Diceros bicornis minor: one gene and its partners. The protein of the gene in region 2 purifies or fractionates together with the protein of the main gene of each other region. This does not show direct contact. Links are inferred from orthologs where the notes say so. Each region holds a gene or a part of one and is shown on either strand. Other genes may lie near its edges. The genes, in order: SIRT1, TULP3, IFT140 and WDR35.

Region 1 (7,246 bases), on a different chromosome or scaffold from region 2:
GAACATATTTTAAATATTTATATAGTCAAATATATATTTTTAGAATATATTTTATAAATTTATATATTTTAAATGGCTTCTGTCTTAGTTCTTTTTGATGCAAAATTATATATTATAAAATGTCTTCTAATATTTTTATTATATTTTTTTCATGTAGATCTTCAATCCACTTGGAATTTATTTTTGTATTTAGTGTGAGGTAGGAATCTGTATTTGTGTTTTTCCACATTAATAACCTGTTTTGCTAATACTGTTTTTCAGTACACAAAGAATTGATACTAACTCCCCTACTAATTGTAGTCACATGAGATTGAAATCAAAGCTATAAGGCCAATTTTTTTGTTCATATAAATAGAGCTGCCAAGTCAGCCAGAATATTATTGTTGGCTCTTGGAACATTTTCTTCCCAGTGGGACAGTCTATATGGGAAACCAAATTACTGTTGAAGGCTGCTTAGGGGGCTTAGAATTTGAAAACAAGTTAAAAATCCTAGTGACTAGTGTGAGAAGTCTATGACAGCCTTTGGTATAATAAAAAATAAATATTTGTCTTTGTCCTGTTTCTGAAACACACCTCCTAACACCCTTGGAATTTGCTGAGTGTTAGGAGTGTCTTTTGTTATTCATAATGAACTCCTTTCCTTCACTCCTGAGTTTATGCTAATGAGGTAGCTTAGGGTGGGGCTCCTAGATAGCTTCAGCTGGGGCTGGTCACCAGAAAGACCAAGTGGTTAGAGGGCAGGAACTTTCAGCCCCACTCCTGACCTCCAGAGAGAGGGATGGAGCGCACTGGAGATTGAACTCTATAAAAAGTCTTCAACAAGGAGCTTCAGAGAGCTTCTGAATTGGTTAACACATCCATGAGCTAAGAAGGTGGTGTGACCCAACTCCACAGGGACAGAAGCTCCTGTGCTCTGGACCTTTCTGGACCTTGCCCTACGTACCTCTTCATCTAGCTGTTCATTTGTATCCTTTGTAAGTGTCATGGGAACTCCCTGTTTATAGCCAGTTTGTACAGGAGGTCTGGGACTGGTGACTGGCATCTGAAGTGGGGGCAGTCCAGTGTCATAATTGAGTTGAACTGTTAAATACCCAGTTGGTATCTGGAGAATCAGAACTGGTGGTTCGTGTTGGAAAACACCTCACAGCCCAATGCACCTACGTTCATCCTGTCAAACAAGAAACAGGTCATGTCATGTTTCATTAACTTTCTCACCTGAACTGTGCTGGGGACAAACTGAATTTCCTTGCCTTGCTTCTTGCCTTTTTTTGTTTAGGATTCATGCTGCCCATCACCTTTCATTCACTAATTCTTTTCCTATATGGAAATCTTCATTTAGATTCTTTATTCTTTCATTCAATAAATAGATGTGCTAGTTACTCTACTAGAGAGCTGATAACACAGAGGTGAACCACATGAACCAAATTCCTGCTGTAGCTGGGGGAGACAGTCAGTAAAACACATAGAGAAAAATAAGTTAACAAGCAAAATAGGGGAATGTGCTCTATAACGTTCTGAATAAGGTATAGAGAGGACTCATTCTAGGGAAGGAGATACAGGCAAAACAGTATGACAAATATATGGCAGGCATATATGTATTTATTTTAAGCGCTTCTAGTGTTATTTTGTACATATATAAGCAAATACATATATATGGTCTCCCTTCCACACTCTCCCTTTTATTTTCTCACAAATAGTGCTACACACACTGTTCTACATCTTGCACTGTGCAGCATGGAGAGCATTCCATATGACAACTTAAAGAGCTTCCTCATTTATTTATTTTTATTTTTTTTTGCTTGAGGAAGATTTGCCCTGAGCTAACATCTGTGCCAATCTTCCTCTATTTTGTATGTGGGTTGCCGCCACAGCATGGCTGACAAGCAGTGTAAGTCCATGCCCGGGGTTTTGAACCTGCAAACCTGGGCCGCCAAAGTGGAATACACTGAACTTAACCACTATGCCACATGGCGGCCCCAAAGAGCTTCCTCATTTTAAAAAAAATGGTTTGGGGGCCAGCCTGTGGCCTAGTGGTTAAGTCTGACGCATTCTGCTTCAGTGGCCTGGGTTCAGTTCCTGGGCGTGGACCTACACTACTATCGGCAGCCGTGCTGTGACAGCGACCCATGTATAAGATAGAGGAAGACTGGCACAGATGTTAGCTCAGGGTGAATCTTCCTCAAGCAAAAAAAAAAAAAAAAAAGTCTGGTACATGAATAGCTCGGTTTAGAATATACTAATGCTAAAAATATTTACAAGAAGGTCAAGGCCAGATTCATGGGAGACTTGAAAAACTGAATGTGAACTTGCAAGCCTTAAGGACTAAGAATGACTTGAATTTCAGGCAAGTTGTTCTCAACTCCTGGTAGGCCAGATATCTAGTTGAGAAGGTGTGTGTTTGTTTTGTTTTTTAATACAATTTCTGTCTCTCATTTATCCTACCTGCCACGTGTACCCCATCTCTGACCTATCAGTACACTAGCAATCATATTGATCACAATAAAGACTAGCAAATGTCTTTGATTCATGATATATATAAATGAATGAATGAATGAATAACAGGATGTCCATAAGCTTACAAAGGTCTTTCTCAAAAAAGCTAGGAATTTTGTTTCTATTTTGATGGGATACTGACTCTCAACATTTCATATATTACATCCCACCAACGTGGCTGAGAAAGAATTTATGAAATATTTTGTAGAACAAGATAGACAAAGTGGGGAGAGAACAGGTCCAAGTATATCAGCCAGGGAGGTATCTATGTAGTCAGGAATTGGAGAGAGTATAGGAAGGAAGGAAGCACAACAGGATTTGGTCACTGATTGGTTACAGAGCATCAGTCTGAAGAAACACTTCAAAGTTGATTCCAAGTCTTCTTGAAAGAAATAATCACTTTCAGAAATGAAAAGAAATGATCAGTTGTAAGGGGAGATTCTCAGTTTAATTTGAGGTACAAAGACTTTTGGATATAGATGGGACCTTAGAGATAGATTTCCAATATTCTACTTTTTTTTAAGAACGAAGAAACAACTTAAGTTGCTTGCCTAAATTCACACAAGTAATTGGTGCAGTATAGGCAAGACCCACGTTCAGCTTAAGGGATGATTTACTGTAAACTCGGAGAGGCGCTTTAAGTGGACAGAAATGCCGCACTCCAGAAGCAGATGCCCTACCAAGCACTGGCTCTAGATCTGCCATGTATTATATGAGTCCTTAGTTAAAGATAGATATGGAGTGACAGAGTCCTGCAATTTCAGGGTAAATGGAAAGTAGGGGCTTCGAATAGGGAAGTAACTAATATTTTTGAGCTACTATGTATCCCTCACTTTACATCTGGCTATCTCATTTAATTCTCATCACAACCCTAAAAAATAGGTATTACCATTTTAGAGATGAGAACACTGGGTTTAGAAAGGTTAACTAACTTGCTCAAGTTAGAAGGGAAAGATCTCAAATACTAACCCAAACCCAGAGGTGTATAGGGGCCAAGTCATGCTCATTCTGTACTCTTCTTATATTGCCCCACTTGACCCAATACACTCACTTTGTGAAGCCCAGAGAAGGGAATTCACACACATTTGGAGCCAAGCTGAGGCCAGAAAGCAGACAGGTTGATCCCCAACCCCCCAAGTCAAAGGTCTTTCCAGGGGGTACACATGTCTTTAAGGATTTGACAGCCTACATCACCCTACAACTGATGGAGAGAGGGGGAAAAAGCAATCGGCTTAGGAGAGAAGCAAAGAGAAAAAGGAGCCAAGAGGAGCTGTCAGAATGGTGTGAGGAGTGAGCTGTGTCCTTTCGCCTCTACTCACACCTGTTAACAAAACAGACCCACCATCCAGCCTCCGTCCGGGAGCTAAGCCTTGGCCAGCTTCATTCCTTCTCGCCTCTCAGGAACTAAGTTTTAACCCTTAGCTTAAATCTTGAAAAGACTAAAGCAAGCAAGGTGTGCACTTAAGGCAGAAGTGGAAACTCGCACTGTGAATCAAAGCTTGAGCCAGCCTGGCGGCAGCGATTTAACGACAGTTCGAAAGAGAAGTTGAGAAAGGGGTGAGTTTGGCAGCACCGAGCGCCTGCCGCCAAGGGGTGGGGCGGCACCGCCCAAGGTGCGTTTCCTCCGGGCCCACGCCGCCTTCGCCAGCCACGTGACCCGCCGTGTTGTGGTCCAGCCCGCGTGGGTGGCGGGAGCGGCGGGGGCGGGGAGGGCCGGGTCACGTGACGGGGTTTAAATCTCCCGCAGCCGGAGCCGCGGGGGCGCCAGTGCCGCGAGTCGAGCGGGAGCAGAGGAGGCGACGGAGGTGGGCCAGAGAGGCAGTTTGGAAGATGGCGGACGAGGCGGCGCTCGCCCTTCAGTCCGGCGGCTCCCCCTCGGCTGTGGCGGCCGAGAGGGAGGCCGCGTCGCCACCCGCCGGGGAGCCGCTCCGCAAGAGGCCGCGGAGAGACGGCCCCGGCCTCGGGCGGAGCCCGGGCGAGCCTGGTGGGGCGGCCCCCGAGCGTGAGGTGCCGGCGGCGGCCGGGAGCTGCCCGGCAGCGGCGGTGGCGGGCGGGGAGCGGGAGGCCCAGGCGGCGGCGGCGGCCAGAGGAGACAATGGGCCGGGCCTACAGGGCCTATCCCGGGAGCCGCCAGCGGCCGACGACTTCGACGACGACGACGACGACAACGAAGGCGACGACGAAGGCGACGACGAAGGCGAGGAGGAGGAAGAGGCGACGGCGGCGGCGGCGGCGATTGGGTACCGAGGTGCGCAGGGCGCGGGCGGCCGGGACTGCGCATCCCCTCCTCCCTCTCCCGGGGCCCCTCCTGGGGTGGGGTCGGTGGGGGGGGGGTTCCCTGGTGCGGGCTGGGGGCTCAGGGCTGGCTCTGTGGCGTGCCCCTCCCAACCACGGCCCTCCTGAGCTGCGCGCCTCCGGTGCTGCTGGCCCGGCTGCTGCTGGCTTGGCTGCGCGAGCGGCCCGCGGACTCGCTCCCTCCCTCTCCTCCCGCCTTCCCTCTGTCCGCCGCCCGCCCGGGCTTCGCGCTTTGCGCAGCCGCCGGACCGGGAAGCTCTTGCAGTTGGTTTTAAAATGTTTCTCTCTCCTCCTACTCTTATAACATATTGCTTTTGTTAGACATCTTTTGCTTCCCACCCCCCGCCCCCCCCCAGCACAATTAAATCTGCAACTTTTGCATCGACCTTTTGCAGTCGTCTTTGCAAACTGACACCTGTGCAATTGGTGACTTTTGACAATTGGTGACTGTGCAGTTGGTCTTTATTTTTGAGCTAGCTTAAATTTTAAACAGCAAAGCTATTTCTAAAGTCATAACCTGCAAAATTTGAAGAGTATAAAGACGTTACGTAAAGACATTACCCTTCTGTGGTGCAATTAATAGTGGGCATAGGAGTGATAGTACTTGTAGAGCACTTTATATGCATAGTATTTCTCCTCTAATCATGTTCTTATAATGGTTTTTAGATTAAGTATAATCTTTTTGTGTGTGTATATGTAACCTTGAAACACGAATTGACATTTTTTCTGGCATACGCAAGCGGTTGTTAGTTGTATATGTCATGTCATCTTTGAAGGTTTCTTATTTTCCATCTGAGGAGTTTCTGCCCTGTGTTTATCAGTATTTGTATCAAATCCAATCAGTGGACCATTTGACCATCTGTAAAGGTAACAACGTGTGCATTAGGAACTGGATTAGTAAAACGACTCCTGATTTCAAGAAACACACTTTAATAGGGGAAACGAATAATGCAAAGATATCATTGTATACTTAGTATTATGTAAGAGAAGTGCAAATTGCTGTACTTCATTTGAACGACTTTTTTGGTGAATTTTTGTGTGACAAGTTTCATGAACTCCATTCTTTGTGATCGATAAAGTCAATCTAACTAGGTTACTACTTTTTGTGTTTTGATTAGGTAGACCCAATTTATTTAAATTTTGACGAACTGAAACTTTTAGATTCTGGGAAGAAGCGCTAAAAATGAGGATATACTGCTCCTGTGAACGGTGAAAGCTAACCCAGTAGGCATTCTTTACACGGGCTGTATAAATGTTACGTGCTTTATTCAGGAGTGGGCGTGGTGGCTTAGTGGTTAAGTTCGCGCACTCCAGTTGTGCGGCCTGGGGTTCGCAGGTTTAGATCCCGGGCGCGGACCTATGCACGGCTCATCAAGTGGTGCTGTGGCGGCATGACATACACAAAATAGAAGCAAGATGCCTACCAATGTTAGCTCAGGGCCAATCTTCCTCACCAACAAAAACCAGAAAGAAAATCTTTGCATTGTAGATCTTCGTACATTTTAGATGTAGATTGTTTAAGCAACCTTGAGTTACTTTTGGTTTCTTTTGCAGATGATCTTCTGTTTGGTGATGAAATAATCACCAACGGTTTTCATTCTTGTGAAAGCGATGAGGATGATAGAGCCTCACATGCAAGCTCTAGTGACTGGACTCCAAGGCCGCGGATAGGTATGGTTTCACAGCTTTAGAGAATAAATGTTTTTTTCTTTGTATTTTTGTTTTATGCCAACTGAAAGTGTAATTCTCTGCCCCCTTATAACCTAGTGATGAGGTTCTTAAGTGCTTGCTGAGATTTAATGTCAGCTTATGTTTCTAGGGAAAGTCTAGTGCTTTGTTCTGTTTTTGTTTGTAGCAGCTCAGGCCCACGGAAGCTGGCATCTGGTATTTCTCAACCAGGTCTCTCTCACACCTCGAGCCCTTTTCACTCATACCTTCTGTGTGGAATGCTCTTCCTCCCATTAAGAGTATCTTGCTCCCTCACTTCATATCTCTTCTTTAATTTTTCTTAACACTTTTTTTTTTAAATTTTATTTATTTATTTTTCCCCCAAAGCCCCAGGGGATAGTTGTATGTTATAGCTGCACATCCTTCTAGTTGCTGTATGTGGGACCCGGCCTCAGCATGGCCAGAGAAACGGTGTGTCCGTGTGCGCCCAGGATCTGAACCCCGGCCGCCAGTAGCGGAGCCCGCGCACTTAACCGCTAAGCCCCAGGGCCGGCCCAACACTTAACTTTTTTTATTGTCTTGTTTCCTGTACTAGAGTATAAGCCCCATGGGGGCAGGATTTTTGACTGATTGGTACACTGTTTTGTCAGTGCCTAGAAAAGTGCCTGACACATAGTTTGTGCTCAGTAAATATTTATTAAGTATGTAGATGAAATGGGAAAGTATTTTGAAGTAGAAAACACTATCAGATTTTTATACCAAAGTTATAACATGATCATCTCAAAAGTAA
Region 2 (7,285 bases):
GGTCAGGTATCACCCTCTCTAGAAAGCCTCCCCTGGGGTGAGTGGAAGCATTCTTCCCATTGTTGTAATTGTCTGTCTCCCTCTGCTAGACTCTCAGCTCTTTGAAGACAGGGACAGTCTGACCTCTGTGTTTCTACAAGTGGTTGGCACTCAATAAATGATCGTAGAATAAATGGTTATTCATCTTTAACTTCCCGACACCCAGCATGGTGCTTAACACTTGCTCGATAAATGTCCATTGAGCGAATGCTGTTGAATGTGAACCACTGTGTTTTTACTCGCTGTATATAGGAAGCTGTGCTCCCCACAGTCTTGAGGTAGGGGTGGTAGTTGAGAGTAGAACTCGCTGGCAGGGTATGAGAAAAAGCTGGGGAATCGTCAGAATTACTTTCTCCCAGCTTTTGTTTCTTCTCTGCAGGCATGGGTTGGAATTGGAGCCACTCCCCCGACCTGACTACAACCAGCATCATGTGGTTACTAACTGCTCTTCATTCACTTCTTGATGCCTCCCAGAAAAAAACGCCGCCCAAGTTGCCAGAAAGCCCAGCTGCTATTCCACCATCAGCCACTGGAGAGCCCCAAACACCGCTATGGATCTCCACAGCTTCCCATCACCTACACTAGGCAGGTGCCCAGCAAGCCCATTGACCACAACACCGTCACTTCCTGGGTAGGCCATGGATTCTTACTGTGACCTTTACTCTGTTAGGTTTCTCACAATGCTGACTCTTCTGCCCCTTGAACCAGGGCCTCCAAAGAATAAGAAGATTCATGGGGGCAGGGACAAGGAGATAATATACTCTTTCTGTCATCGTCAGCCATCTTCTCTGGTATATCTTCTTTTCTAAGTTCAAACTGAGGCATGGTGTGGTTGGAATTGGAGTCTCCCGCCACATTCCTCTGAGAGAGTTCAGTATCAAAGTTTCACCTCCCACTAGCTGGGCGAGAAAGCCAGATAAGTGGCAGAACAAGTACAAAATGGGATTGTTCCCTGAGCTTCACGTGAGAGGTAAAGTATTTGGGTAGGTACTCTATTTACTGTTTAATAGTCTGAACCTTGAAAAAGAGCCACAGAAATGGCATATGTCATATTTTGTTAAAAGCCCTGGAGAGAGAACATAGCTCCTATAAGTCAGGGAAGTAGAATAGCAAAAGAGCCAGACAAAAGCATAAACTCTGCCTAAGAGTGCTTAATAAATGTAACTTGTCGGGGTTGCTTGGAAAAGCCATAATATTTGCTTCAGGATTGTAGAAGAGACTTAAATGTTAGAATCCTGGGGATGAGAAGAGGAATGAAATTTGTTGAGAATTCATTATGTGCTAGATCCTATGCTAGTTATTTTGCATACGCGGTCTCACTCCCTATTCTTGCATTCAGCCATTCATTCATTACTGGGTCCTTTCCTGTGTCAGGCACTCTGCTAGGTGCTGGGGATCAATGGTGAATAAGGCTGGTCGCTGCCCTCAAAGTTTAAAGATAGTTAAGTTGCAGCCATATGGTGTGATAAAGTGAAAGAGGCATTGTCCCCTTTCTTACACATGAGGAAACTGAAAGCCAGAGAGATTAAATAACTTGCCCAAAGCTCATATCCTTATCTATCTATCACATTAGACAGGTGTTTTTGTTTTGTGTCCATTACTATAGTAGGCCCCCATTTGGGATTCTGGACGTTGGGTGTAGTTTCCTTCCTGAGGTTTGTACTTGGTAGTTGGCTCTCCTCAGCTTTTTTTTTTTTTTTTTTTTTTTCATCCTTAGGTATCACCTCAGTTTGATACAACAGCAGAAAACTCGTTCCCAGCCAACCGGAAACGTCGTCGCAGAGACCAGGCAAGACATTCAAGTCGAAAATCTACCACCTCCAAGTTTCCACATCTAACATTTGAGAGTCCACAGTCTTCTTCCAGTTCAGCCACACTTGGGATCCCCTTAACCGGGGGATACCCCAATCAATCAGAAAAGGACATTTCCAGAAGGCCCTTCATTCCAATGCTCAGTCCCCAGAGCTGTGGGGAGCTGTCATCACACGCACTTCAAAACTTGCCTTATGTGTTCATTCCACCTGAAATCCGGACCCCAGAGTCATCTTCTGTGAAGGAGGGGCCCATTCCCCCAGATCAGAGGGAAGACAGCCTTCCAAGCTGCTCCCTTCACACTAGTACTCCCAAGAGCCCAGAGCCTGGGCCTGTTCTGGTTAAAGACACTCCTGAGGAGAAGTATGGGATAAAGGTCACGTGGAGGAGACGAGGGCACCTGTTTACTTACCTCAAGGAGAGAGGGAAGCTGAGCAAAAGCCAGTTCCTTGTGAAAAAGTGACTGGGTTTCTCAGATAACAGTAATCTCAAGACATTGATTGCTGGTTTTCACAGAGTTGCTCAAGTCGCTTTTCTGGCTCACAAGATAGCACATCGATAGAATAAAGTGGAAATAATACCAATAACATCAATAGAAAAAGATATTTTAACTAGACCCCTGGAGTCATAGGGAATTCAATTCCCAGATTTACTTTTTTAAATATCTTGTCATAAACAGTTCTTAGTGTCATAAACTGTTTACTTCATATTTTTCTTGTATTAACTGTTTCAAATTTTAACGTATCTTGTAGTAACTGTTTAAAATGTATGTAAACAAATGGTTGCAGGAACTTTTTAGAGAACCCTGCTTCTGACTGCCCCCTCCACAGAGGGTCTTTCCTAATGGTTTCCTTTAGCCACTACTCGTTAATCCTTTAGTCACCTCATGCAAACCAATTCATTCCACAGTTTTGAGTACTGACTCTGCGTCAGGCTCAGTGGCAGCTTCCTCTATGACCTGATGGATGGAAAAAATCTAAGCAAATTCTGTGACTTTTTATAGTTGAGCTGCCGCCTCTGCAACCTTGGCTCCTCTGCTGAAAGGAGAAGATTGAAGAAGGGGCAGCAAGCCCTGTTTAGTGAATACAGTGGGATCAGGGCAGGTAAAGGGGACATGAGTAAGTTACTTAGGTTTGCTGTGTTTTGATTTTTATTTCCAACCGAAGAAATCTCTAAATATTAAATAGGGTGGGAAAATGATTTCTTGCAGTAACTGTTTGAAATGTATGTAAATAAATGTGGAAACTTTTCAGAGAACAGTGCTTCTTATTGTAATTAATGCGGGACTACCCAGTCAACAAAATGTTTCCACTGGCCTTTCATCGATACAAATAGCATTTCATTCAACTCCATTCATTCAGCTTTAAGAACCCACTCTGTCAGGTCCAGCCGAGCCAGAAAGCAGGGATTATTGTGTTTGTTTTACGGACGGGAATTTGAAACACAGATGGTGAACCACGCTCAGGGTCGCATGGTGGGTGGAGGCTGGCCCAGTGAGTGCCGTGCTCTGCTCTTCTCGCTTGTGCCAAGTTCCATGCCTCTTAGAAATTCAAAACCAATGTGGAAACAACTTTGACGTCGGAATGCTATAAACTGAGGTCAGTGTGCAGTAACTGTCCGGATGTTTTGTGGGGACCATAACGCTGTATGTAAGTTGGTGGTGAGAAAAGAAGTGATGGTTGGGGACAAGATTTACTGGAAACGATAGCACAGATTTACACAGCGGATCTCGTCATGGAGTATGGATGTTTGAAGACGGTCCATAGGCTGTAGAGAGAGGTCATGGAAAAGATTGTCAGGAGAGTCCGTGGAGAAGGTCTAGAATGCTCTAAAAGCCTGGGCTGGAGTGGGGAGGCTGAAGGAGTTTTGTGCAGTTGAGTGCAAGACCAGGTAACTATATGAAAGATGCATTTAATTGGGTGTGACTGCTGCAGAGGGGACAAGTGTGGCTCCCAGGAAGGCCCTGGTGTCAGGGAAGGGGCCGGTCTGTGAGGGAGCGGGCAGAGATCTGCAAGCCCTAACATTACAGCCCTCGGGAAGCGCTCTGGGTGGTCTCAGTACAAACGGCAGAGGATTGGGGACGCCGCTCCGCGCGTGGCGGCTAGCGGGGGTAGGCGGCCCCTCCGACGGACTGGCTGCCTCGCCGCGGGAGCCCACGCGGCCGAGCGGGACCCAACACTCGGCCCTCAGCCCCTTCCCGGCGCCGCGCTCCAGGGCCGGAGCCCCAGCGCGTCAGCCCCGCTCCGGCGCAGGCGCCTCGCCTCCCGGTTCCTCCGCCCCTAGAAACCCTCCCGCAGCGCCGGGCGGCGGCCACAGCCAATGAGACAGGAGCGGCGGCACGAGGGCCAATGGGCGGCGGCGACAGTGCGGGGTGCGTTGCCAGGGGCGGGGCCTGGCTGCCGGCCAGGCTTGCCACCCTAGCAGCGGCGTCCCGGGGTCTGGATGTGGTTGTCTCCTTCTGGGCGGCGGGGATGGAGGCTCCGCGCTGCCGGCTCGGACCCCGCGGGGACAGGTCAGAGACGGGTGGTGGCTGGTCTCGTCTCGAGCGGGCGGAGGGCCTGAGACCGCGGCCGTCCTTGCGGGGGCTCTGAAGCGAGAGCGCTCGGTCGGGGGACGAGGCGGGAGGCGAGCAGAGGACCCCTTTTACAGGGGCGCGCTGGGGAGCAGCGGCTCTGCGGCGGCGCCGGGAGTGGGGCCTTCGTGTTCGTGTTCAGGTCCCAGCTTGGGAAACTCGTGGAGCTTTTTACGAGCTCGCCTTGCCCTCTGTGGGCCTCCTCACTCGGAGCGCGTTACCCTGCCCCTCGCACTGCCCAGCAGTGTCATTGCTGAGGTTGCATGAAGTCTCCGGGCTGTTGAAGCGGAAGGTTCTGGGTGATGTTTGATAGTTTGCTTAATGCGGTTGCGTCGGGCAGGCAGTGCTGAATTCTGCAAGAGTCCGACGGCTGAAAATGCAAAACTAGTCATCTTTTGCTATCTGCTTCTTAGTAACTCGCTCTTATGCGGCGTTGTCTGTCGTATTTGCAGTGGACCATGCCCCTTGTTTGTGCTCCTCTTGCTCTGCCATGCCCCTTTTTTCCTGCCTCCGCCAGAGGGAGAGCCTGGAAAAGAAGACGATCCGAAATCTCAGCCTGCCAATTTCTTGTTAGCTGGGTTAATGAAAAGTTAACGGGGAGCAGTGTGAAATGATTGGCTTAAAACTTTGGCATTGTCTGAGGATTTATTCTATTACCATAGCAAATAAAGATTTAGCATGTAAGGACTTAGTCTGATATTTAGACTAGTCGATGTTTAAACAATTGTAAACCATTTAAAAGCGTTGTCAGGAAGGAGGCGTTGGGGTACAGAACACTCATTTTTCTCTTTCATCAGATTTCATTGACGTAATAGCTGCGCTCTGTGAAATGTGTTCGCTGCTCTTTTTTTTCAAGTGGAGAGAAAAATATGCTACATTTACGAGTACAAATATGAAAATGCTAGGAGGAGGTAAAGTTAAAATTCAGCGTCTGTGTTGAATTCAGATGGTGCTTGTTAAGTTGTGGTCACTCAGTAAATCTTTTTTTTTTTACGAGGAGATCAGCCCTGTGCTAACATCTGCCAATCCTCCTCTTTTTTTTTGCTGAGGAAGACTGGCCCTGGGCTAACATCTGTGCCCATCTTCCTCTACTTCATATGGGACGCCACCACAGCATGGCTTGACAAGCAGTGTGTTGGTGTGCGCCTGGGATCCGAACCTGCGAACCCCAGGCCACCGCAGCGGAGCACGAGCACTTAACTGCTTGCGCCACCTGGCCGGCCCAGTAAATCTTAATTGAATGAATTTCAGGGAGTAAATTTCATGGGTACGAGATGTTTGATATGACTCATGATTTTTGAAAAAAAAAAATTGAATTGACTGAAATTGAGACAAGGAGGCAAAATGGTTTTTAATTTATTGGACTTGAAGTTTAAAGGGATAATTTAGAAGTTTTTCTGTCTTTTTTCTTCCCAAAGAAACCAGCTCTTTAATTTTAAATCCAAGGGGAATGTGTGAGTCACGGAATGTTCCTCCTGCAGCAGGTACTGTTAGTGCAGCTTCTAGCACAGTTTAACTCATTCGTTGCTGAGAGAAAGTGGAATAGGTCTTGCTTTTTTGGCTTTAATGGTTTTGATGAAATACATTGATAGAGTTTTTGGTATTAATACCTTTCAATGTGAAAGATAACATCTGACTTCTAAGTTTCTTGTGATTTTTTTCTTCTTTAATTATGTGACTCTTTTACCATGAGGCGGATGTATTTTCAACAAAGTATGGTAGTCCCCTCTTGTCCGTGGTTTCTTTTCCCGGGTTTCAGTTATTCGTGGTCACCCATGGTGGGAAAATATTAAATGGAAAATTCCAGAAATAAACAATTTGTAAGTTTTAAATTATAAGCAGTTCTGAGTGATGAAATCTGGAGTGGTCCAGCTCTGTCCCACCTAGCACGTGAATTATCGCTTTGTCCAGGTATCCACTGTGTGTACCTACCGGCCTGTTAGACCGTTAGTTAGGGAAAAATAGTACAAATGGGGTTCGGTACTACCCGTGATTTCAGGCACCCACTGGGGGTCTTGGAACGTTTCCCCTGTGAATAAGGGGGCACTACTGTAGAAAAATTATTAACAAGTAAACTCCAAATGTTTTTCCTATATCTGAAATATTTAGTGGAAATTGGAGATGGAATTTGAGACAGCACTCTCGGGACTTTTGTTGGGGCTAGGCATTTTGTATTATGGGTTCCCTGGAGATGACAGTGGTTTGCTACTCCTACAACTTGAGCTCCCTCTAGCCTTTTGTTCCTGATAGAAAATTGAAGATGTGATGAGAGAGACTTTTCTTTCTCGGTGTGATGAGAGAGACTTTTCTCGGTGTGATGTGACCTTGTGACCCAGAGTTGACTAAGAAAGTCCTAGTCTGTGGTTTATCCATATGCCATGATTTCTCTTTAGAAATATGAACAGTAGTAGTGCCTGAAAGTTATGTCTTGGCCAGGCTTGTTATCCTCTCTCATGTTCTCTCTTTTTAAAATGTTTCATCAGATGGACTAATTGTTGGCAAACAGACTTACCCAGTGCTTAAAAATACTTAGATTAACTTATACATGACCTCAGTATGTTTGGCAAATATCGAAAGCTATGGTAAAGGCCTAATAACATCTAGTGTGCGTGTGTTTTCCGAAATGTGAAGGCTACATACAGACCTAGGAAGGAAAGAATAATCCCTGTAATAAATTTCCCTTCTTCCAAGATCCTTCTGTTCCAAGCAGACAGACTCAGATAGTTTTTGGAATAGTTTCATTTCTGGCTTCTCTTATTTCCTGTGGAAACTCCGCTGTTTTCCCTGCATTTGTGCCCGTTGAAAGAAAAAGTTAATGTTTCCTCTCAACCAAGAGGAAAAGTATGCTTGAATTACTCAGAG
Region 3 (7,477 bases), on a different chromosome or scaffold from region 2:
CGCCGCCGTCCCGGGGGGTCTTGCCGTCCCTCTTTGTGCCGCCGCTCTCCTCGGCCGCGTCCCCGCCGCCGGCGCCCTCTCCTTCCAGCGAGTCCTCATCGGCCGACCTCTTGCCCAGCCTCTTGAGCCCTTCCTCCCCGCTGCTGCCGTCTCCCAACTTCACTGTCATCCTGGCGGGGAGGGGGGCGAGGAGACCCTCGTGAGGCGCGCGGCCCGGCAGCCTGCCGGAGAAGTTTAGCCGCCCCGATTCCCTCTCAACATGGCCGCCGTTGTTTGTTCCAGATCCCCTCCCGGCGGCCCGCCCGCCCGCCCGAGCCCCAGCCCGACCGGGGCCCGAGCCCGCCGCCCGCCCGACCCCAGCCCGGACCCTCGCGCGCCCGCCCGCTGCCCAGGAAACGGCGGCCGGGGCGGCGCGGAGGCGGCGGGGCAGCAGCTTGGGGGCCGCACCCGGACGGCCCTGGCCGCGCGGCGCCCCAGCCCCGGCGGGATCGGGTAGGGGGCCGAGGCCGGGGTCCCGGGTTCCTGGGGTCCCAGGGTCGGGGCCCGGAGCCACCTACCCTGCGGGCCCGCGGCTCATGGCCTGCGCGGCGGGCAGGCTGCGCGCCGGCCTCGCTCCCCGCGCTGCCTGGGCCGGCCGGGCCTCGGCGCCCGCGCCCCCGGACCCCACCCCTCCCCGCCCCCCAAAACGCGCGGGGCTCCGGCCCGCGCACCTGCCCCGCACGCTGGCCCCCAAAGTTGGCCCCGGAGTGGGGGCGACCGGCCCAGATCGACCCCGGCAGGGGAGAGGCGCGGGCTCGCCTGCGTGCACAGGGAACTCCATGGTGGCCCGCGGCTGCCGGTCCGCCTGCTTATTTTAAAACAGACATAAAGAATAATAAGCTCGGGGTTTCTGGGAATCTTGCTTCCCAGGGTGGAAGATGTGTGCGGCTGCGGGGATTTACGAATTAAAAATGCTTTTACAACAAAGGAGCCTGTTGCACGGAACAGGTTGGAGCCACCCGTGAAAGTGACAGCACAGTTATGTCTAGGGCCAAATGCAAGAATGGGTTAGAAGATAATTGTGTTAAAACTCTTGGTAACCATTCATAAAATTCTTGCCTTAACTTTGTTACCCACTGCTGTGTGAAATGTCAACAACAAAATGCGATGACCCTCAAAATGTTTGCAGCCCAGAAAACAGATCCACTCAAAAATTAAGAGAATCAGGTACACATCAACAATATATGCCCAGAAATAGTCAATAATGTGTACCTGCGATGAAGCAAGAAAGATAAATATTAGATTCCTCAACAGGTGTTGATACCATGCCCAAACTGCGTTTGACATGCTCATCACAACTGCTGAGGATGGGAACATTTCCATTTAAAAGGAGAACCAGAGCAAGACATCAAGGCTAACAGTCAAATACAGTAACAAGGGCAAGGACCTATCACAGAAAGATTTGGAAATGAGTAAAAATCACAGTAATACCTACTACTGCTCTGATATATTCCATAACAAAATGATCTGTAACAGTTTTCATCTGTTGGAATTGATCTTACAAATCATTTAAATCCATGCTAGTTAAAAAAAAAGAAAATCCTGCCAAAGAATAGACTATACAAGACAAATACCCAAACTTAAAGGACTTCATTGCACAGGGCTTCTCACTATTCATTTCTCAACCTATCCATTTCTACTTAAGGCACCTGAAAATATCCCAAAGGGCCTTTCTCTGGGTTATAATGTGGAGAACCCTACTTCCCAGGGACCTATCATCGCAAAGCTACCCACAGTCAACCCAGGACCCAGGCAAAGCATACATCAGTCACAACAGATTAAACTTGCCCATTTGCCCGGTTGAATACTGGAAGACAGACACTAAACTGAACACAGAAGGACACAGCTTTTCAGAATTAAAAGGATACTGATACATTTCAGAGTTTTCCCCTAAGAGAAAAGGAAAACATAGGGATGGAATCTTTCACTGAAAACCTCCAGCATTACTTCCTGACCATCCACAGACATGGGATCACTTCAAGCCCAATCCTGGCTCGACACCGTTTGTCACATTTCGGGAAGAGAAAAGCAAAACCTTCCCTCTTGGGCTGATTTCCGGCTGCACACAAAGAGCGCTGTCAACGCAATATTTCTCGCTCCCGGCAAAGCCCCGGGAAAGCACCGCATGCGTAGCCGCCGCCGCGAGGGCGCAGGCCGCTTCTCCCGCAGCCCCGCTCCGGCTGGGAGCCGGGCCTCACCGTGACAGCCGGTCAGGGCGGCCCACCTCTCCCGAGCCCCAGTCTCTGGTCACCTTTTTCATCAACGCCTTGCAGCAGCCTGGCTTCCCGGGACCCCCGGGGGCCTCCCGGGCGCCCGCAGAACCGGCCGGGCCGGGCAGTCCCAGCCCCCGAGTGCCGGCTACAGAGAGGCCGCGACGCCGCAGTGATCCTCCCGCCTCAGAAGCGGTAGCCGAGCGACGCTCGCCCCGGCACGTCCCCTCCGCGGCCGGCGTGCGGCTGACGGGGCTGCGGGCACCGGTGCTGCCGCCGCTCAGCCTCCGGGAGGCCCGGCCCGCCGCGTTCAGCAGCAGTTCCGGCTACGGCGGCCGGCGGAGACCGCGGGGACGACGCGTGGGGCGGGGCCGGGGCGGCGGGCACGCGGGCCGGGGCGGGGCGACGCGCGCGGGGACGAGCACGCCCGAGGTTTCCACCGTGCGCACCCCACTACGGGCGCTCCCATTGGCCAGCAGCGGGCGCGCTCACAGGCACGCACGGACGCGGGGCGGGAACGAGGGGCGGGCCTGCGACGCGGGTAATGTTGTGACGCCGGGCTCGCGCCCGTGCGGGCCGGTGCGTCTCTCTGGATTGGTGGATTAACAGCCAATAGAGTCAGCGCCAGGGCTGTGATTGGCCGGAGCCGTGTTGACGGATGCGTGAGAAGAAAACGCCGCCTCAGCTCGGAGTCTTGAGTCGGCGGGAACCGAGTTTTTAACGAAGTGTGAAAGTACAACTGAGGCGGATAAACACAGCCTTTATTGGATCGAGTGTGTGCTTTTGAAGTTCTTTAGCGTAACAGATGGTGCTGGGCACTTAGCTCATTTTTCTTTGTTATGGCGATAAAAGTGTTTTTTAAAATTCTAGTGTATATGGCGGGCGGGGGTGAGTTTGATGCTGTTTAAGGGTACAAACTTGTAAGTAGTAAATAAGCCATAGAGGTCCAATGCACAGTATAATGAGTATAGACAATAATTTTGTACTGTAATTATATAATATGATAGATATGGCTATATCGGCAATCATATTACGTATATAAACGTATCAAATTAAAACGCTGTATAACAATGTTACATGTCCAACTTATTCAATAAAAAAATTCTAGTGTTTACGAAAATTGGGTTTTTAAAAATAGAATCGTCCTTGTACGTATGTAATCCCGTCCGATCCAGTAGTATCTACATTTTCCTCTTACTTTTTCATTTGTTTAACAATGTGGACCTTTGGGACCCGCTCCTGTAGTTACATCTTTCCAAGCACGTAGGTCAATCAGGAGGTGGAGGAAGCAGCGGTGGGGGTGGGGTGGGGCACGAAACGCCGTCTTCTTGAAGATTCCCTCCTCTCTGGTTAATCTTATTGCTAGATCTTCCGGACCCCACCCTTTGCTAGGCTCCGCTCTGTCTGGTCTCAAGGAGGAGGGTGTGCAATATGAACTATTTTTTTTATGACATGACGTTGATTTGTTTTTCAAAGTTAGTTTGACCACAGCTGACGTTAGGCCAGGCGCACGTTGTAAAATGCCTTTGGGAATGCAGCTGCCGCCACGAATCAGGCTGGCTTCTAGCCCGTATCGTTGGCTACCATTTTCTCGCCGAAGGCGTCCATATGGCCCCCAAAGCATTGAACGCATGTCGTTAGTTACCTAATAACTTCAAGGAACTATGTCGAACCAACTGGCTTTTCTCTAAAATACTCTTGAAACACATCCTCCTCCTTGAGACCAGACAGAGCGGAGCCTAGCAAACGGTGGGGTCCGGAGGATCTAGCAATAAGATTAACCAGAGAGGAGGGAATCTTCAAGAAGATGGCGTTTCGTTTCTCCCCCCTACTCTCTGCTGCCTCCTCCACCTCCTGATTGACCTACGTGCTTGGAAAGATGTAACTACAGGAGCGGGTCCCAACAGGCTTTGCATCCCCATCACACCTGGAAGAATTTCACCAGCTTCGCCTCTCTTCCCTGGTCTCTCTGGCCCCCTTCCGAGCTAGCGTTGTTGATGCCAGACTTCGGCTGCGATGGGGAGAAATTGCCCCGCGGGTCCACCGAGCTGGCCTCCTGCGGGGACCCGCGGGGATCATCCCGCAGTCGGCGCCGCACGAAGATTCCCGATCGTCTTCGACTGTTTCCGGCCTCTCGGGGCGATTCGGGCGGCCTCGGCGGCCGCATCGCTCACCTTCGGCTGTTTCCGCGTTCCGCTCGCAGCCGTTGTCCCGGCAACGCGCGGCCGCCCGGCGGCCAGACCCTGGTGAGTGCGGTTCCGGGGTGAGGGCCGCCAGGGGTGTGGGAGCGCGGGGAACGGGGTGGGGGGGGAGCGCGGGGAACCGGGGGTGGCGGGGAGAGTGGGAAGGGAGGGCGAGTTGGGGGGCTGGGAGCCGGGGAGGGGGACGTCGACGAGGCGGGGCCGGGGCGGGGCTCGGGGGGACCGAGGGGTGGGGAGCCTCGGGGGCGCGGGGGCCTGGGGCCGGGAGGAGGGAGACGATGCGGCGGGCCAGACCCTGTCCCGCGCCCTCCCAGGTTATTTTCGTCTGGAAATCTGTCATGGGCCAAGCGCCCGCGGCTCCTCTCAGGTCAGGTGAAGGCTGGGGGTGCTGGGCGCGGCGTCGAGCGGTCAGCGCGAGCCGACGTCCACCTCAGGCGCAGTCCAGATCCGATTGAGGACCGCGTGGCCGTGAGAGTTCGGGGGGCGCGGACCGGGTAGTGGGTGGGCCGCGCGGGCAGAGCTCCCGGTGATGCTGGGGGTAGGGAGAGAGTGAGAAAGCCACCGTCCTGCACTGTCGGTCCTGCGGCCCCAGGGAACCGCACTGTCCCAGACCAGCGAATGCCTGTCCTTCGTGTCCATGAGACGCAGCTATGACCCTGCACTGCCCGAGGCCCGGGGCCCGTGGCCTAGAGAGAGAGGCTTTGCAGGGTGGCCACTAGTGCCTGCCCCCCACGCCCTTGCTCAGCCCCTATTGCCCCAAAGTCCTCCGGTTTCCTCATACAGCATCTCCAAGCAGTGGTGCAACCAAATTAGCTTTAATACCAAGAACTCCTTAGTTGAGTGAACCTAACAGATTCTTTCCCAAAAGTTGGTTTAATGGAGGCCATAAGGACGTTGGACGCCTAGAGGTGAGAAAAGCCAATCGGTTAGAATAAATGGAATTTTTTTTTTGTTTTCTCCAAAGTTTATACCTTTGCCAAATCTTTTTATGTTCTAAGAGACCCTGAGTTTGTTTTAAGGGAAGGAAGTGAACTTGTTTCTGAACTGATGCTATTAACAGATGTCATTAGGTAACGATTTTATTGTTAGTCGTCTCTCCTCTTTGTGTTTATTTTGGTAACTTTTCTTTTATAATTATGCAGATAATACTTATTCATTGTAGAAAAATGTTAAAATGCAGGTGAAAGGAATGATGCACAATCATACATTGTATAAAAATGGACTCATTCACCCTGGCCAGTAACCCACTTTTTACAACAAAACATCAAGACCATCTTTCCTGGCTAATAAATGTTTTCAACAGGGATTCACATATTGGGGGCCTGTTCTGTGCAAGGCACTGTTCTAGGGGCTGGGGACTCTCTGGGGGTCTCCCACCCTGTGGGGCAGATAATCTGGTAGGGGGTGGAGGATAGTCAGTCAAACACGCATTTACAGTAATGTCTAAATGCAGCCATATGGAGAAGAACAGGGTTCTATGGATACACTGGGCAGAAGCACAGAACACCCCAAAAGTTGTCCGAGAGCTCCCTGGAGGAAAGGAGGCTGGATTCCTGTGTCCAAAGGAGGGGTGTGAGGGAGGGCCTCTGGGAAAGCCCCAGGCAGGAAAAAAGTAATTTAAAGATCTAGTAGTGGGGCTGGCCCAGTGGCATAGCAGTTAAGTTCGCCCGTTCAGCTTTGGCAGCCCAGGGTTTGCAGGTTCGGATCCCCAGCACGGACCTACGCACCGCCTATCAAGCCATGCTGTGGCGGCGACACATGTAAAGTAGAGGAAGGTGGGCACGGATGTTAGCCCAGGGCCAAGCTTCCTCAGCAAGAGGAGGATTGGCAACAGATGTTAGCTCAGGGCTAATCTTCCTCACACACACACAAAAAAGAAATCTCTTAGTATACATTCTTATTAGAAAGTGATGTCTGAAAAAAAAATAGAAGAGATCAAGTTTAACTTTTTCTTTCTTTTTTTTTTTTTTGAGGCAGATTGGGCCTGAGCTAACATCTGTTGGCAATCTTCCTCTTTTTCTTTTTTCTCTCCAAAGCCCCAGTACATAGTTATATATCCTGGTTGTAGGTCTTTCTGGTTCTTCTATGTGGGATGCCACCTCAGCATGGCTTGATGAGCGGTGAGTAAGTGTGCGCCCAGGATCCGAACCGGTGAACCCCGGTTTTAACTTTTTAAAGTGCTACTTATATTCTTTCTCCATCGTTACAGCAAAATTAACATGTTACTCATTTTTCAGAGGAATATTTTCACAAAGTAAACTTGTTAAATATGAATATGAATTTCCCATAGCCAGGAGTTTAGACTGTTGATTGGCTGCGACAAGTTAAAACTCACTTTAAAAGGTTTCCTTTGCTATATTAAATCGCCCAGGTTTTTATCTGGCATGTTTTCATTTTCAATGGCTTTGTTTGAAGGTTTGCATAAGAACTTTTTTGTGCGTGTATGTGAGGAAGATCAGCCCTGAGCTAACATCCATGCCAATCCTCCTCTTTTTGCTGAGGAAGACTTGCCCTGAGCTAACATCCGTGACGATCTTCCTCCACTTTATGTGGGACGCCACCACAGCAGGGCCTGACAAGCAGTGCGCACCCAGGATCCGAACCCAGGCCGCCAGCAGCAGAGTGCATGCACTTAACTGCTTCGCCGCGGGGCTGACCCCTGCATAAGGACTTTACTCCCAGAAGTTGGAGCCTTGACCAGTGTAGATGTAGTGATGTGTGTGCGCAGGGGACCCTGGATCCAGCCCCTTCCCCTGACTCCTGTCCCCCCACCCGCCCCCACTCACTGCTCCACTAGGAGCCCTGAATAGGTGCTCTTCAGTCCGTGGTGGTGAGAGTACAAGCTCGAAAATTGTGCCTTTGTCTAGTATTCAGGGTATATATTCATAAGAAAAAAGTAAACATTTGAAATGTGACTGTGCATCTGTACCCGCATGCCTTCCAGCTTTTCACTGGACAGAGTTTCCTTCTCTGGATCCAAGCTGAGCCTTCGTGGCTTCCTCTGATACAACTATCGTATTGCTAAAA
Region 4 (7,790 bases), on a different chromosome or scaffold from region 2:
TTTCTTTAGTGCTTCTCCATAGCAGTATATGCTCCTAATTGAGATCTTAGTAACAGATGGAGCTCTTATGCTGATTCCTTCAGATGGCTTTCTTAGTTCAGAATCTGTACATGTACAGAATGAGTCAGCTGATAAGGGGTGTGACGGCTCAGATGACACGTAGTTGTACACTTCGGCTAGCCAGGTGGTCAAAAAGCAGATTCCAAAATGTAACGTGGTGCCATCTCAGAAACTTTCAAAATCAGTTCTTTAGCCAAATGAGTAATTTAGGAAAAGTACTTTTTCTTAGCACAGTTAACAACACTGTTCCTAGGGGCCTGAGGCGAGTGGTATTCAAATTGCGATGGGGATACCCTAGGAGTATGCAGAGACTTTGGGGGGAATAGGGGTGCACAGAACGTTTTAAAGGAACCAGTTCCAAAGCCTTCACTTCCTTAAATTGATCTGCCTAAAATGGTACTTGGGGTCAGTTGGCATTCTCTTTTCCCATCTCTCACTTCAGGATCACCCTTCTCCTAACTTTACCCAAGAAACGCATACCTCCCACTCAGCCTGAGATTACCAAGGTGAACTTCTTGGAAAAGTACAATCTCCAGAGCCACACAAAGGGAGGATTCAATAGCTTTTTAAATCAAGGCTTCATAAACACTGCTCCCCTATTCCATTCCATTAAGAGATACCTTTCCAGTTAAATCTTACCTTTTATTTTTAACGATTTTATGTCAAAATTTGTAATTTATTTTGTTTGGATCAATTATGTGTTCATAATAGCTGTAATGGTAATCCAGATGATTAAAAACAAAATTTAGGGCCTTTATGGTCAAAGAAAATTGATTTAAAGGTAATTTCAATATAAATGTGTGTGTGCTTGTTGTTTGTATAAGCTTACTTGAGAAGTACAATAGAGTGATCCAGAAAAGATTTCCAAGATTCAAAGTGGAATAAAATTCTGTGGAGAAAGTAGAAAGGAAATACAAATTCAAGGAAATACAAATTCCTTTATTTTAAATATTTTATTTTAGAAGAATGATAGTAGGTATTAATTCAGTACGATATTAATATTATGTGGGATACATTTGAAAGACTGATTTAAATGTTATTTTAAAGACTCAGTATTTATAGCAGAAACTGCATATTTTGTAAATAAAACATGATAATTTTCATATAATTTAAATATGCATGACATGACTTATTGTCAAGATTATTTTAGGGAATATATGAGCAAAAACGTCTGAAGACCACTGCTTTATATCGTGCTTTCTAAAGAACAGAATTTCTGAGTTTTAGATTAAACTAGACTTTTGGTGAGAAAACAATTTTGCTCTTTTTGTTTACAATAGAATGTAATTATTTCTTTTGTATTGAAGTGTTTGAAAGTATGTTTACATTTTCTAATGTCTAAAAATCAATAGTGTTGGCCTTAACAACTAGCCACTTGATGACGTTTTGGAGAAGTTGCAAGCAAATGAATATGGACAAATACATCGTTAAGTTTCTCAAATTTTTCACCTGGAAAATATGGAGAGCTTGGTGTATTTAATACTTTGCGTACTCCAATGTTCCTGCTAATAATTTGCCATTACAAATGCCTGAATATTACTGGATAAGTAGTATGAGGATCTTCTGGAGAATCAGTATCATTTTTCTAAGGAAATAAATGTCCAGATCCTCATTAAGAACAAACTTTAGTGTCTAAGCTATGACTGTGAAATGGTTGGTAGAAATAGAATGAAAAGTTTAATGTTTCTTTCTGTCTTTACTAATTGAGCCATTTAATTTTTAAATGTTTATATTAGTAAGATAACCATACTTACAATGGGAACTTCTGATCTATTTTCTCTTGATAATATTTATGGTATAAAACAATCTTATTACTGAAAGTGTAAATTGTACAAAGTATTTACACATACAAAAGTTGATATAATTAAATTGAGAGGAATATAATTTAGAACTGTTTCTTTAACATTTTTTGTTTTTACTAGAGTATTATTGAAGCTGTGATCAGGGGATTGTAATATACATATCTAAACATAGTTAACACAGATCAAGTGAACATTACATGCCATTTTTAATTCATTCTGATGTTAGAAAGAAACACACAACTAAAGACTTTAGTTGTGAAATAAGAATGTTGTAACTTTTTACAAAGGACATAAAATCCTACATTTAGTTTATTGTTTTACTTTAAGATCCTATCAATAAAATTATATATTTATAAATATTGCTATAACAAGTAACAAAACCTAATGTTGTCTTTTTAAATGTTAGTGATAAGCCTAACTTTTTTTCACTTATATATTTGATACATGTTTTTAGCTTTAAAACTTATAACTTTTAGAAGAAAACAATCCTTTAAATTGTGTACAACTCAAGTCCTCTTTTGGTTTGTATTGTCTTTGGTATAATAAAAAAGTTAGTATCTTTATATATTATTGTCATCCCTTTTTGTCGTGACTCATATCAATTTTGTCTATTAACATATTTCCTTAAACTAAATTAACATTTATTTTGAATATATAACAGTTTCTTGTCAAAGGACAAAATGTTGTGACTCTTCCTATAATTTAATCTTATGCTCTTAAGGTTAAAAATGTAAGTTCAGGGGCCAACCCCGTGGCCTAGTGGTTGAGTTCGGCATGCTCTTTCGGCGGCCTGGGGTTTGGGTCGTGGGCACGGACCTACACCACTCGTCCGCAGCCATGCTGTGGCAGCGACCCATATACAAAATAGAGGAAGACTGGCACAGATGTTAGCTCACGGCGAATATTCCTCAAGCAAAAAGAGGAAGACTGGCAACAGATGTTAGCTCAAGGCGAATATTCCTCAGCAAAAAACCAAACAAACAAAAAGTAAGTTCAGGTTAAATACAAAGGCTTTAATCAAGAATGTCATGGGAGAGGGAATAAAACAAAATTATCTAAATTTATATAAAATATTGTTGAGGCTACATTAATATATGTGCCTGAGAAGCAAATATAACCTCAGATGTAAACCCAGAAAACAGTCAAAAATCTAAAATATAAACTTTAAAGGGAAGAAATGAAAAATAAATACATCAAGGGAGTATATATTATATGAAACATATTGTTATTTCTTAACATTTTTGAAAGGACATGATATACAGTAGTTATTTTCCAAACTTATTTGAGCATAGAGTCAGTAATGTTAATATATCACAGAGAAATGGTGCTATAGAAGGAATAAGAGCTCATGTGCAAGAACTAGGGAAAGGTATTTAAAAAGATGATTTTTAAACAGTGTGACCATCAGTAACTAGCTTCAACTAATCATGTCTTAAACTTGACCAGTTGATTGGAATCCCCCGGCTTAGATAATACTGATTTGTTTCATGAGTCCAGTGTAGGGTGCCCGTGAGCATGTGCCAACATATCTTAGGAATTTACAGTTTGGTGCTGAAAAAACAGATACACATACATTTGAAAAGAAATGCATATATTATCTGAATGGGATGGGGGTTATGTGTGGAAAGAATTTCCCAGGGAGACCTGCTTTGTGTGTTTGGCTAGGCACAATTGGCCAAGAGGGTAAGGACATCATAGGATATATAAAATGGCCTTGGAAGCAGAGAGGAATGGTAGGTTGCAGGAAGTATATTGGCTTTCTTAGAATGGGGGCACCATAGTAAAGACGTTTTAGGATTGAAGGAAGATCTGATTTTAGCTGGGGTTTAGATTTGATAGGAAAGGCATTAGGAGCATTTCAATTCTTGAGTGTGCTGGGTGAGGCAAACAGACTCAGGTCAGAGGATTTGAACATTTGCTTGAGATGGGGAAAGAAGCTACTGCTGCATAAAGTACATGCTAGATTATACAAATCAACAGTGGTAGCTACAGAATGTGGGAAAAGGAAAAACCAGAGAGAAATAAAAAACGGGTGAGACTAAATAATTTCATGCGAGTTTCTGCCCTATGCCTAAAATTGTGGTGATTTGTAACTCTCCAAGCATTCAAACAGGACAAAGGAGAATTGAAGAAAGAAATATGGTAGAACAAGAAGAGAATATTCAACAGTCGACCCAGGAGAGAAAATACCAAGCACCTCAATTAGTATTTAAAAATGGAAGGCTATACCCCAATGGCAATCATACACTGTAATGGCCCAAAGCTCATACATATTGTTTTTATAAGGACTCTTGGGCTGCAGTAACAGCTTAAATAAGATGTTAAAAAGTTCTGAAACAAACGTAATAAACACAATCTCCTGTCCCCAAACTGCTCCAGAGGGTTCTCCAATTCCCAAAAGCGCATGGGAAGGTTTGCAAGCTCTGAAAACGCACATTCCCAATTTCATGTGGCCGACGGTGTCAGTTTACCAAATACAGTAAATGAATTTTCCCTTTCAACAATGTTGGGACTTTGGGGCTTACAAAATACCCAATCATTGTGACCTCATTTGAAGGAGCGCCTGTCCTGAGTCGATCCTGACACCTCAGGCGAGCTCCACCGCGACCATCCCAGGTGTGGCAGGTGCTCCGTGCCCTCAAAGACTGAGGGCAGCTGAGACGAGGCGGCAGGGCGCTGAGGGTCAGCGACGAGGCCCCAAGCAGGGGGCAAAAAGGCCCAGAAGCAAACACACCACGTCCAACCACAGCTTCGGCCCCGCGACCACCGTTCCTACAAGCCCCCCGCTGCCCGCGCAGGCGCACGACGCCCGGGGCCCGTGCGAGGGCGACACCGGAAGTGCCCTCGGCGCCCCGGATGCGACCGGGCGGCGGCGGTTGCCAGGGCGACGGGAGCTTCTGCAAGCCGCTGGTACATGCCATTGGCGACGGAGAACAAGTTTCGTGCTGCGGGCCTTGACGGCGGGGGTCGTCCTGTCGGGGTTCCCAGGATGTTCTTTTACCTGAGCAAGAAAGTGAGTTTTTTGGGGGCGCCCCCGCTTCTCCTCCGTTCTGGCGTCCTGCGGGCGATTCCCGCATCCTGCCGGCGAAGCCAGGCGCCTGATCGCGGCTTCGCCATCCTACCCCAACCAGCCTCTGACCTCCTCCAGCCGATCCTCGAGTCCCAGGTAGTCCGTGGGGGGACGGGGGGGCAGCAGCCTCCTCGCACGACTGTCTCCCATTACTGCCCCAGGCTAGGTCCTTTTGGGGGGTCAGCAGGGCAGAGCACTGCGTGCTTGCCTGTCTTTCCTCCTGCTCCTGTTGCTGATCCAGGTGACTTAAATTCTTTGGATCATCCCGGACCTCTGGGCAAGAGAAACGTAGTAACAAAAGAGTAGCCTAAGTGTTGTATGTAGAAAAGGAATATGGACTAATGGTATGGATTTATACCTCCTAACCGCCCCCCCCCCCCCAAATTTATCTGGTGACTCCGGTGAGGGGTTCCTCCGCAGTCACTGCTCTTCTCTCCTGTTCTCTTCTTTCTGTCTTTCCCAAATGGTAGGGCCCGGGGAAGCTCAGGGGACTGTGCCCGCATCATAACAGCTCACTCTTTCATAAGGGTGACCGTCTTTCTTCTTGGGGGATTTTCTTCAGCCTTCATCTCCTGTGGACTCACTTCTCGACTCCTTCGTGACAAGTTGTATGAGTGGTTGTGGTTGCCTTTCAGATTGCCATTCCCAATAATGTGAAGCTGAAATGCATATCTTGGAACAAGGACCAAGGATTCATAGCATGTGGTGGCGAAGATGGATTACTGAAAGTTTTGAAATTAGAGACACAGACAGGTAAATGAATGCAAGCCCAAATGTTTGAACTTGATGGAAGATTGGCTTGTGTCATTTGTTCAGTGGGATTTGCTCATGGTATTCGTTAGTATGCCATTCTAATTCTTTTAAAAGGAAAAAAACAAAATCCCAAACATCTTGTGTTTTTGTAGAGCGTTTTTGCAATAAAGTTCAGAGAATATCGAATGTAAATGTCAGGTGGCTTTTGCTGAAGTTATTGATGAAAAGTGAAAAAGAATGAAAAATGAAAATTAAGCCACTGTGCTGTCTTGTGCTATGTCTGTTTGTTGTGCTTTATTATTAGGAGTCTAGTAAAAATCGTGTGAATCAGCATTTCAGTGAGTCACAAAATCTTACATTTTGGCAGATTATTTGTAGGCCTATCTCATCTTTTCCACTTATCAGATGGGTCAATTATTATGTATCTAGTTTCCAAGAACAGAAAACGGGGTTTTAAAAAAACCCCTTTTTTTTCTTTTTTTGCTGAGGAAGATTGGCACAGATGTTAGCTCAGGGCCAATGTGGGATGCCACTATAGCATGGCTTAATGAGCAGTGTGTAGGTCCACCCCTGGGATCTGGCCCTGCAAACCCCCCGCCGAGGAACTTAACCACTGCACCAGGGGCAAAGGCCCTAAAAAAAAAAACTTTTTTTTTTTAATAAGTCTCTTGTCATTACAGCTTAATTTCTCTTCTTCTAGTTCTTTGGAATCATAGCAAACTTCACAAAGCAGAATTTCACATTTCTTTAGCATCCCTAGTGTTGCTCTAGATTGGAGATCTAGGTAATCCCCTATCTGAATTGGAGATCTAGATAAGGAGATTGGAGTTGGAATCGCTGCTCTGCCATAAGACTTCTGAAGGACTTTCAGCAAATTGCTGAATATCTTTGGGCTTTAGTTCACTCTTTTGTGAAATGAGAGGTTGAACTAAATTACATTTTGAATTCCTTACAGTATTGTGTGTCAGACTTTATCAGGCATAAGAATCATCTGAAGAGATTGTTAAAATGGATGTCTGGGCTCCAGCCCCAGAGTCGATCTGGGATAGGGTCTGAAAATTTGCATTTCTAGTGATACTGGTGTTGCTTGGTTCTCAGATCACACTTTGAGTAGCGCTGCTTTACCATTTTGAATGTGGTTGGAATCATAAATGTTTACTGATCATTTTCTATGTATGGGGTGCTTAACTTTCACTATCTCATTTGACTTGACAATAATCTTGAGAGGTAGGTATTCCAGATGAGAAAGCTGAGGCTCTGATCAGTTAACCACGGGCACACAGCCAGTAAGTGGCAGAGCTGGGATTTGAAACTAAGCTTGTCTCATTTTTACGTCTTTGTAACCATTACACAAAGTGCTTGGTGGACAGCCTAAGCAAAGAGAGAATAATTGTTTTCATGTGCTAGATTAATTATATGAATAAAAGGCAGGTAGATACTTATGTACCAATTAGAGTTTGGCTTCTGATGTTTAATAATTTAATGTTTCAGTGCTTTAGTTTTCTTAACTGTGTTAAAATAACTTTTCTCTGTTATGCCTTTCAAACATGTATATGTATATATATGTATTTTTTATTTTGCTTAAAATATGTAGCAAGTTTTAGTTACATTAAGAAATGCATTCATTATGTAAAACATCGAAGGCTTTTCCAAAAAAAATTGCTTTTTTTCTCTCTCTGCCCTTTTGATGAAGTATAGGGTATTCTTTGAAATTAGTGAGCGAGATGGAAAATAGATTCTTGAGGTTTGGAAAATGGAGTAAATTATTTGTTTTCGAACTTATTGAGTGTAAATCATGTTGAAAGAGTTAAATATGAGAAATATAGCTGGAAGATTCTAACAAGGTCAGTATATTGTATTTAATAATAATAGTTGTGATGCAGCAGATCCCTCTGGTAACAACCACCAGATGTTACATGCCTACTACATATCAAGCATTGTGTTGTGCTGAAGATGTTATGTTGTAAGTGTGGTTTTGTAGCTTTGCTATCAAATAGCTAAGTTATTATCATTCATCAATATAATACAACAACCTCTATATCAATAAAACGTCTTCTGTAGCATCATTTTTAATGGCTGTTTAGTATTCCATTATGTTGGTATAT

What was found.
Region 1: the proteins of TULP3 (region 2) and SIRT1 purify together in Homo sapiens (affinity purification with mass spectrometry; 5 studies listed by BioGRID and IntAct, counting the BioPlex papers as one, with this or other methods). This does not show direct contact. The link is inferred for Diceros bicornis minor from reciprocal best matches to the Homo sapiens genes TULP3 and SIRT1.
Region 3: the proteins of TULP3 (region 2) and IFT140 purify together in Homo sapiens (affinity purification with mass spectrometry; 5 studies listed by BioGRID and IntAct, counting the BioPlex papers as one, with this or other methods). This does not show direct contact. The link is inferred for Diceros bicornis minor from reciprocal best matches to the Homo sapiens genes TULP3 and IFT140.
Region 4: the proteins of TULP3 (region 2) and WDR35 purify together in Homo sapiens (affinity purification with mass spectrometry; 5 studies listed by BioGRID and IntAct, counting the BioPlex papers as one, with this or other methods). This does not show direct contact. The link is inferred for Diceros bicornis minor from reciprocal best matches to the Homo sapiens genes TULP3 and WDR35.

The regions. Positions count from the first base shown.
Region 1 is NC_080745.1:37,974,022-37,981,267, reverse strand, and holds the start of SIRT1 (NAD-dependent protein deacetylase sirtuin-1), read left to right. Parts: upstream 1-4,245; 5' UTR 4,246-4,323; coding exon 4,324-4,741; intron 4,742-6,342; coding exon 6,343-6,459; intron 6,460-7,246. UniProt on the Homo sapiens protein: NAD-dependent protein deacetylase that links transcriptional regulation directly to intracellular energetics and participates in the coordination of several separated cellular functions such as cell cycle, response to DNA damage, metabolism, apoptosis and autophagy.
Region 2 is NC_080756.1:58,499,178-58,506,462, reverse strand, and holds the start of TULP3 (tubby-related protein 3), read left to right. Parts: upstream 1-4,271; 5' UTR 4,272-4,322; coding exon 4,323-4,363; intron 4,364-7,285. Other genes in the region: RHNO1 (RAD9, HUS1, RAD1-interacting nuclear orphan protein 1), read left to right, coding at 503-670, 1,757-2,314. UniProt on the Homo sapiens protein: Negative regulator of the Shh signaling transduction pathway: recruited to primary cilia via association with the IFT complex A (IFT-A) and is required for recruitment of G protein-coupled receptor GPR161 to cilia, a promoter of PKA-dependent basal repression machinery in Shh signaling.
Region 3 is NC_080765.1:46,786,599-46,794,075, forward strand, and holds the start of IFT140 (intraflagellar transport protein 140 homolog), read left to right. Parts: upstream 1-4,465; 5' UTR 4,466-4,495; intron 4,496-4,744; exon of another isoform or gene 4,745-5,358; intron 5,359-7,477. Other genes in the region: CRAMP1 (protein cramped-like), read right to left, coding at 1-170, 711-820. UniProt on the Homo sapiens protein: Component of the IFT complex A (IFT-A), a complex required for retrograde ciliary transport and entry into cilia of G protein-coupled receptors (GPCRs).
Region 4 is NC_080751.1:61,804,982-61,812,771, forward strand, and holds the start of WDR35 (WD repeat-containing protein 35), read left to right. Parts: upstream 1-4,772; 5' UTR 4,773-4,776; coding exon 4,777-4,875; intron 4,876-5,567; coding exon 5,568-5,685; intron 5,686-7,790. Other genes in the region: MATN3 (matrilin-3), read left to right, coding at 1,436-1,491. UniProt on the Homo sapiens protein: As a component of the IFT complex A (IFT-A), a complex required for retrograde ciliary transport and entry into cilia of G protein-coupled receptors (GPCRs), it is involved in ciliogenesis and ciliary protein trafficking.